Linked DNA regions of Saccharomyces cerevisiae S288C. Changing the gene in region 2 together with the main gene of any one other region gives a genetic interaction. Each region holds a gene or a part of one and is shown on either strand. Other genes may lie near its edges. The genes, in order: SUC2 and HXT7.

Region 1 (4,126 bases), on a different chromosome or scaffold from region 2:
TTTTGCGATTTGTTTTCGCTCTTCTACATTAATTTCCTTTGAGTAGTGTAGGGTATTCTTTTTATTAGCTCCATTATTGTTTTTCCGCCTTCTGTTTTTCGCTTGAGATTTCTCGACTCTCACTTCTTCCCCTCCAGTCACAGGTTTAGGTTCATTTTGTTCCTTTGTCTCTGTCTTCTTATTTCTGTTTCGATTTTTATTCCGCTTTTTATTTCCATTTTTAGCTTTATTTGTGCTCTCCTCATTCCCGATTGGAGTTCCTTCGTTTCCCAAACCAGAAGCTTTTCCCTGAGATTTTTTAGCTCCTGTTACAGATAGCTTGGTATCCATTTCCCTCACTACTTCTTTTTGAGAACACTTTTACGTAGAAGACAACGCTTTTTTTTTTTACAATATGGTATACTTCTACTTAATGCTTTTAAATTTTCACATAACTAATACTTTACCCGGTTTCATTGTGTCAGTAACAAAACAGATAAAGGCAAAAAGGTCCATCCTAGTAGTGTAAGGCAACTACATTACGATTGTGGGTTTATTACGTGAAAAAATGATGTCTATTGCAAAGTAGTAAAAATTTTTAAGAGAATTATACTTATATAAAGTACATAAAGAACAAATTCCAGGTAACTGGGGTCGGGAGAAAATAAAAATAAAAATACATTTTCAATGGTTTGGAGGTATTCTTTGAAATCATAAAGTTTTACATTCGTCACTCGTTAGCTAAAGCCCTTTAGAATGGCTTTTGAAAAAAATAAAAAAGACAATAAGTTTTATAACCTCTATTTTACTTCCCTTACTTGGAACTTGTCAATGTAGAACAAATTATCGACACCAGTGGTCATGTTCACAGATCCTAGAGCGTTACCGGTGGTCATGAAGTAGGTATTTGTAGAAACCACATCTCCATCGTTGAAGTACAATTCCAAGATGTTTTGATCCAGTAGGCCGTACACTTTATAGTAACTTAGGTCGTTCTCAGACTTGAATGGTTGGTTGTTGACAGACATTCTGTTTGTGAAATATGGGTTCTCCTTGACAAACTTGACCTTAGAGTTACCACGGTCCAAAAAGAAGGAAGAAGCACTGACTTCAAAACCCATTCTCAAATATTCTTCAGGATCTTCTAAACCCTTGAACCAAAGTGATAAGTCGGCAAAGACGGATTTGGATATGGTTTGTGTGGTGTTAACAGCGTAAACCAACTCAAACTCTAGGGTACCAGTCGAGTTGCTCAAATCGACATTGTAAGAATTGGCCTTAGTTAGAGTTGTGTTAGTAGCAAAACGAGACCAGGGACCAGCATTACTAATGTTCAATATTGGTTCGGCTTTCAAATTGATCAATTCAGTCTCTGGATTAGCTTGATATTCAGTGTTCAAAGAAAACTTGCGGACCAAAGACATGGATGATCTCCATGGGTTAGTTGGGACAAAGGCACTGTACTCCCAGTTTGAAGCCCAGGCAATACCTAATGCTGAACCGTAGGTTGGGTCAGTGTTGAAGAAAGTTTGCAAGGCATAGTAGTCCTTACCAAAATCTACCACTCTAGATTGATTGTCAAACGCTTCAAAATGAGTACCATTGAAGGATCCAACAAAATATTGGTTGAAGGAACCGCCAGCAGGTGCACCTGGGTTGATAGAAATAAACATGACCCAATAAGATTTGGAAGGATCTTGCTCAGTTGGGACTTCAATCAAACCTGGACATTCGTATTGGTAGCCTAAGAAACCTTCATTGGCAAATGCAGATTCTAGCTTCCAGGACTTCAAGTCATCAGAGGAGTAAATTTCAATTTTGTAGTCTTGTGATTTGGCAGCCGTCATAATCCATTTTTGAGAAGGTTCATACCAGAACACCTTTGGATCTCTGAATTGAGTGGAGTTGGCAGCTAAAACAGGGTTCTTTTGGTATTCAGTAAAAGTGTAACCACCATCAAGAGAATAGCTAATGTATTGCTCTTCACTTTCAGGAGTGTTATAAGTCCAAATCGCAACGCATCTTTGTCTTGGATCAATAGTATCATTGAAAAACCCACTCGTGTTGTTGTAATCAACCACCATGGAGCCAGAGAAAGCACCTGAATCGTTACGCTTGGGAGCGATAGCAATGGGTTGATCTTCCCAATTAGTCAAATCATCGGAAGTAGCATGGCCCCAAAACAATGGCGTACCCCATACGGTGTCATTTGGGTTGTATTGAAAGTACAGATGCCATTTGGCATCTTTTTCATCGTACCACAACCCATTTGGGTCATTCATCCAGCCCTTGTTGGGTGTGAAGTGGACCAAAGGTCTATCGCTAGTTTCGTTTGTCATTGATGCAGATATTTTGGCTGCAAAACCAGCCAAAAGGAAAAGGAAAGCTTGCAAAAGCATCATATACGTTAGTGAAAAGAAAAGCTTTTTGTTTTGCTTGTTTCTCTGAGAGAAAAAAAAAAGTAAGATATATGGTAAAAAAAAAGCACAAGAACAAGAGAATGTTTTGAAGAATAATACATATCTATTTATATGTTTCTTTTCAGGAGGAAGGATTATAGGATCGAAATCCAAAAAAAAAAAGTCGTCAAATCTTTCTTCCAAATGGTTTACTATAGAGCCCTTAGGCAACATTTTTGTCAAACAAAGTCGTTTAAGCATTCCTCGAAAAGAAACGTCTCTATGATGGTAATAGGCAAACATCGGGCGTACCTTAAAAGTCTTAGACATCACATAAAGGGATTTATAATCACATTCCTCGTCAGTTTTTCCAGAAACCTCCATGGAAAAACCCTGGACGTGGGGTCGATTAACGCTACGCGTATTTCTTCGCCCCCGGATAATTTCCTAAACTGGGTTTTTTCTTTTTATTCCTGTTCAGAGTAATAAAAATGCGGGGAATAATGGAAGCCCTCATAATGGATCGAGTTCAACAAAGGCACGCCTTTGGTAGAAGAATACTGTGGGCCTTTCTAACGTAGCATACCGACTGGTAATTTGCTCACAAACTATTCTAAATGACGTACTTTTTTGAGCTTTGCTGGGGGAGCGAGAACTACGCTAGGACAACAACTCCCATACGGTAAATGTCTTAGTATGTCGTGCTTGTACAAACGAAACATGATAAAATGGATACCTTCGACAGCTCACCGTGCCCCTGTCCTTTGTTCATTGGGAAACCTCCTGCCGTAATTCTACATACTATACTCGATACCCGAGATTGTGACGTGTGGATGCTAAGCCCCTATAACCTCAAACTTTTTAGCTTGGAAAGGCACTTAACTCAATTATAGGTTGTTGCGAATTCTGAATTTTTACAGCTACTTCTGTAGGGAATTCAGACCTCCGTACGGTATCTCCCTGTTTACTACAGGGGAAAACTTAGTTTTTTTTTTACTATAGTATATGCAAGGCCCTGAAGCTCCATGATATTTCGTAGATTATTCGGCTTCCTATTCAAGGCAATGTCTAGCCGTTTAATGTGCGACGGCATTAGCAAAGCTTCTTCAGTTAATAACTTTTCTACGTTCTTTAGCGCATTAATAGACTGATCGTCTATTACCATCGTGGAAATGAGGTATAGCACCTAAGAATACAGCGAAGGAGGTCTAACTGCTTCCCAGAAGTCACAGGAAAATAAACTTTTTTTTTTTATTTTCCGCTTTTTTCATAAACTTCTTTCACACTTTCCGCTTTTCCATACTTGGTAAATGCACATAATGCTATTGTAATATACAACCATGATTTCACTTCCCCTGGCGCAACAGTATGTTGTTAGCTATGATACAAAAATTTTTTAAGGCCATTTGAAAGCATCAATTTCTCAGAACACACTTCATCTACTGCAAAAGAAGACTTTCGAAGAAAAGTACAAATTGCGACGAACTACTTTCATAGTAACAAAATGAACAGTGACATTGAAAAGCAGAGAATGTTGAACATAGGCTAATTTTACGTTCTCACAGCCTGGCTAGCACCTAGAAACGACGCATGCTGCCATGTTAGTAGTCAAACAAAATTGAAGTGAGGCTCAAAATAGTTTGAATGAACACAACAAAACATTGGATAAGCTGTCATGCTACATTAGCAATACAAAAACCCGCACCCCGTAGTCACGTTCGCCTTCGCAGCTTTTTAAAAATGGCAAA
Region 2 (4,316 bases):
TAATATCCTCTCCATAGATGCATTGTGAAAATTGAAGCTAAAAATTTTTTTCGCTTCGCATCATGAAAGTAATTTTTCTTCTTTTAAGTGACGGGCGATGAGTAAGAAAGAAATAACTGACTCATTAGACACTTTTTGAAGCGGGATACAGAAAAAGAAGATATTTCCCATTTCAAAAAGGCTCTACTATATCCTTACCATTTACCAAACTAACCAAAATTTGTAGACGTGGGTCTGCAGGCAAAATTGGAATATTTGTGAATAACAGTGCGGTCGGTAAACAACTGACTTCTTCCCACTTTGCATTTCTCTTTAAAGTTTCTTTGTCTCCGTCCCACTCAACTTTCTGAGAACAAATGATCAAAAACTTGAAAATTAAACTGTATTATTTTGTATATATTAAAAACGTATTTACTTTTCAAGATATCATTAAAAATATAAAATTAGAATTAGAGTACATTTCAAATGCACAAATTAGAGCGTGATCATGAATTAATAAAAGTGTTCGCAAATTATTTGGTGCTGAACATTCTCTTGTACAATGGCTTGTCATCGTGAGTCATTTCTTCAGCGTCGTAGTTGGCACCTCTTCTGGATGGTGGAACCCATGAGGCAGACTTCCATGGTAGAACACCTTCTTCCCACATGGTGTTGACTTCTTCCAAAGTCAAACCCTTAGTTTCTGGAACAACTAACAAAACATAGAAGAACATGAAGACCAAACAGCCCATGAAAACGTAACCGTAGTAGAAGTTAATAGCACCAGTAATAAATGGAGTGAAGAAACCAATCAAGAAACCCCACAACCAATTAGCAGCTGTAGCAATAGACATAGCCTTAGACTTGACTCTCAATGGGAAAGTTTCAGAAACAACGACATAAGGAATTGGAGCCCATGTAGTAGCAAAACAGAAAATATAGAAACAGGCAAAGACAATCATACAGTTACCAGCACCCTTGGAAGATGGTTGGTCTTGACCATTTGGCCATAATCTGGTGACACCCACGGAAGCATAGACAACCATACAAGCAGTCATGGATGCAGCACCCCATAGCAAACAAGTACGACGACCATATCTCTCAACAACGTAAATACCAACAAAGGTGGAAGCAAAGTTAACAATACCCAAGACAATAGAGGTTTCGAAAGAGTCACTCAAACCAACAGCCTTGAAAATAGTAGTACCATAGTAGAAGAAATAGTTATCACCTGTCAATTGTTGTAGAGATTGAATCATAGCACCCATGATCAAACGCTGAAGGACCTTTGTCTTGCTACTAAACAATTCACCCCAGGATGCATTACCAGCTAATTTCTCTGCCTCTACACCAGCCAAGACAGCTTCGACTTCAGCCAAAACAGATGGATCATCAACAGCAACCTTGTTAGAAACGGCAATAGAACGTTTGGCTTCTTCGATCTTACCGACTTCAGCCAAATAACGTGGAGACTCTGGAACAAATGTCATACCACCAATCATAAACAAAGCCCAGGCAAAACACAAACCTAATGGAACTCTCCATTGCACAGAGTTGGAGTAGTTCTTAGTACCGAAGTTGGTACAGTAACCCAAGAAAATACCGGCAGTAATCATCAATTGGTAGCAAGAGACTAAAGTACCCCTTAAATGCTTTGGGGATACTTCAGAAATCAACATAGGAGATAAAACGGCAATACCACCAACACCCAAACCGGAAATAATTCTACCGATGAAATATTGGTACCATTTGTTGATAGATGCAATTTGAATAATAATACCGATGATGTAGATGACAACAACGACAATCAAACCCACCTTACGACCGTACATATCACCCAATTTGGAAAGAATAATACCACCAATGGCACAACCAATGTTGAAAATGGAGACAATCAAACCAGTTCTAACCTTAGACAAATAATTAGTACCATCTTTATGCTTCATACCAAATCTTCTGATGAAATCGGTTTGATTGATGAAACCAGAAATGGTACCAGTATCCCAACCGAAAACGAAACCACCAAAGGCGATCATGATACACATAATAGAGACAGTGACATAGGCAGAAGCTGGTCTCTTTGGAATTTCAACGACAGGTTCGTGCTCTTCACCTTCACCATAAGCTTTTATTTCATCTCTTTCAGCCTTGTTTGATGGTGTAGATAAAACCGAGTGGGAGGCTGAGTCAACAGCAGAGAGATGCTCCACAGGAGTTTGCTCTGCAATAGCAGCGTCTTGTGACATTTTTTGATTAAAATTAAAAAAACTTTTTGTTTTTGTGTTTATTCTTTGTTCTTAGAAAAGACAAGTTGAGCTTGTTTGTTCTTGATGTTTTATTATTTTACAATAGCTGCAAATGAAGAATAGATTCGAACATTGTGAAGTATTGGCATATATCGTCTCTATTTATACTTTTTTTTTTTCAGTTCTAGTATATTTTGTATTTTCCTCCTTTTCATTCTTTCAGTTGCCAATAAGTTACAGGGGATCTCGAAAGATGGTGGGGATTTTTCCTTGAAAGACGACTTTTTGCCATCTAATTTTTCCTTGTTGCCTCTGAAAATTATCCAGCAGAAGCAAATGTAAAAGATGAACCTCAGAAGAACACGCAGGGGCCCGAAATTGTTCCTACGAGAAGTAGTGGGTCATAAAAAGTTTATTCCCTGGAAAAAAAATTTTGCGTTGCCTTTCTGGAGAATTTTTTCGAATTAGCGTGCTGCCACTGCATGCATTTCTGAGAAGTGTGGGCATTCTTCCACCAGTTGTTCCTCCTAAAAAAAAAAAAGATTTCCTACCCCGCACAAATTCCTGCATACCCCTCATTTCCACGGGGTAAAAAAAAAACATCCCGTAGCAGCCTCTGACGGAGCCGTATGGAACAATCCTGGATAAATATGGCGGAAAAACGGCTCTGGCTGCGGCTTTGTTTAAGGCAGAAACTAGATGAGATGTTTGTTGTTACGGAAAAAAAAATTTGTTGCGCTTTCTGTAGTGGGATTTGTCCTCATAACTTCTCCATGAAGGGGCCATTAAAATCTAGCCCTCTAGTAAAGCGTTATGGGAGCACTCTTGCGGCGTTCAACGGTGCTGCTTTTTCACTTTTACAGTATGATATGTCTTTCACATTGGGTTTTAGCTATAATTAGATAAAAATATTTTAAGTTGCTTTTGAAGTGTTTAGTAGGGCGTGTTTAGCAGGGCATGCTTAACAACCCCAAATGATCTTAGCGATGAGAGTACTATTTTCTAGGGTTGTTTTGTGCAGCCTGTTAATGTAGACATCAAGAAATTAAATGCGATCTTAATTCATTCGGAATTTCTTTTCACCGTGTGAATGAAATTTTTCGAGATGCTAAGTATAATAAAAATAAAAAAATAAAATCGCTTTTCTTCTAGAGAATTTTTCCGTGAGAAAGTAAAAACACATAATACTAGCTTAATAAACTTTTCTTTCCACCACCCATAGGATACGCTAACAATTTTTGCTGTCAACTGCTTGCCATTTTGTTTTCTTCCGACTACTATCACTTAGGGCTATTGGCAGTATATGCGTAATTTTATCAATTACCATACTTGTCAAACATAGATCAGGAAAAATATTAACGTTCCTGTCAATCTAAGACTTGAAGATTACAGGACTTTTTTTTTTCTTACTGTATTTTTCCGTAGAGTGCACCATTCGGCAGATGGATCGCGGGGAAATTGAGAGTTTATGCAAAAAAATCCGAAGGTGGAATTAAATGGGTCCCGCTTTGGAAAGCCCCGGATTTAATCCCCCATTAAGGCAAATTACTCCTCATCCTAGGTGGAGAAAAGAACCGGAAAAAAATGCAGTACCTTTTTTGTTCCCATTTCTTTTCCAAGTAAACAGGCGGAGAATCAAGCTGCTGCAGTTAGTTCTCAGAGTTCACTTAACGTTCTCCTGTAATAAACATAAGGAACAACCATCACCCCACACTTTTATCTCTTCCTCACTAACATTGTGTTAGCTTGCATGTTCTTTGAGACTAATGACCGATTGTTTGATCTCTTCTTCCGATTATTGCTGGTCCGATCCCTTGAGCATCGAAAACCAAACGACTGTTTAAGATCTGTAATTGATTAAGACCCATTGGCGATTACTCACTCATCGGCAAAAAAAAATGGTCTGAACATGCGTTGAAAATTTTGCTCCCATGAGATTTTTTGTCTCATGTAGTAATTATTTTATTTCTTGAGCAATCTGAGCTTCAACAAGACAGAAAACGAATATGGCAACTGTTATTTCGTTATATAGTGTTGCTGGTGACCGAACACAAAAATGATCTTAGAATTGTAACTCAGGGAGCATACGAA

The links.
Region 1: mutations in HXT7 (region 2) and SUC2 together harm fitness more than expected from each alone (negative genetic interaction), as found in Saccharomyces cerevisiae (one large-scale study listed by BioGRID).

What each region holds. Positions count from the first base shown.
Region 1 is NC_001141.2:35,637-39,762, reverse strand, and holds SUC2 (beta-fructofuranosidase SUC2), read right to left. Parts: upstream 2,379-4,126; coding exon 780-2,378; downstream 1-779. Other genes in the region: SMU2 (Smu2p), read right to left, coding at 1-330; YIL163C (uncharacterized protein), read left to right, coding at 2,511-2,864.
Region 2 is NC_001136.10:1,153,704-1,158,019, forward strand, and holds HXT7 (hexose transporter HXT7), read right to left. Parts: upstream 2,226-4,316; coding exon 513-2,225; downstream 1-512. UniProt on the Saccharomyces cerevisiae protein: High-affinity glucose transporter.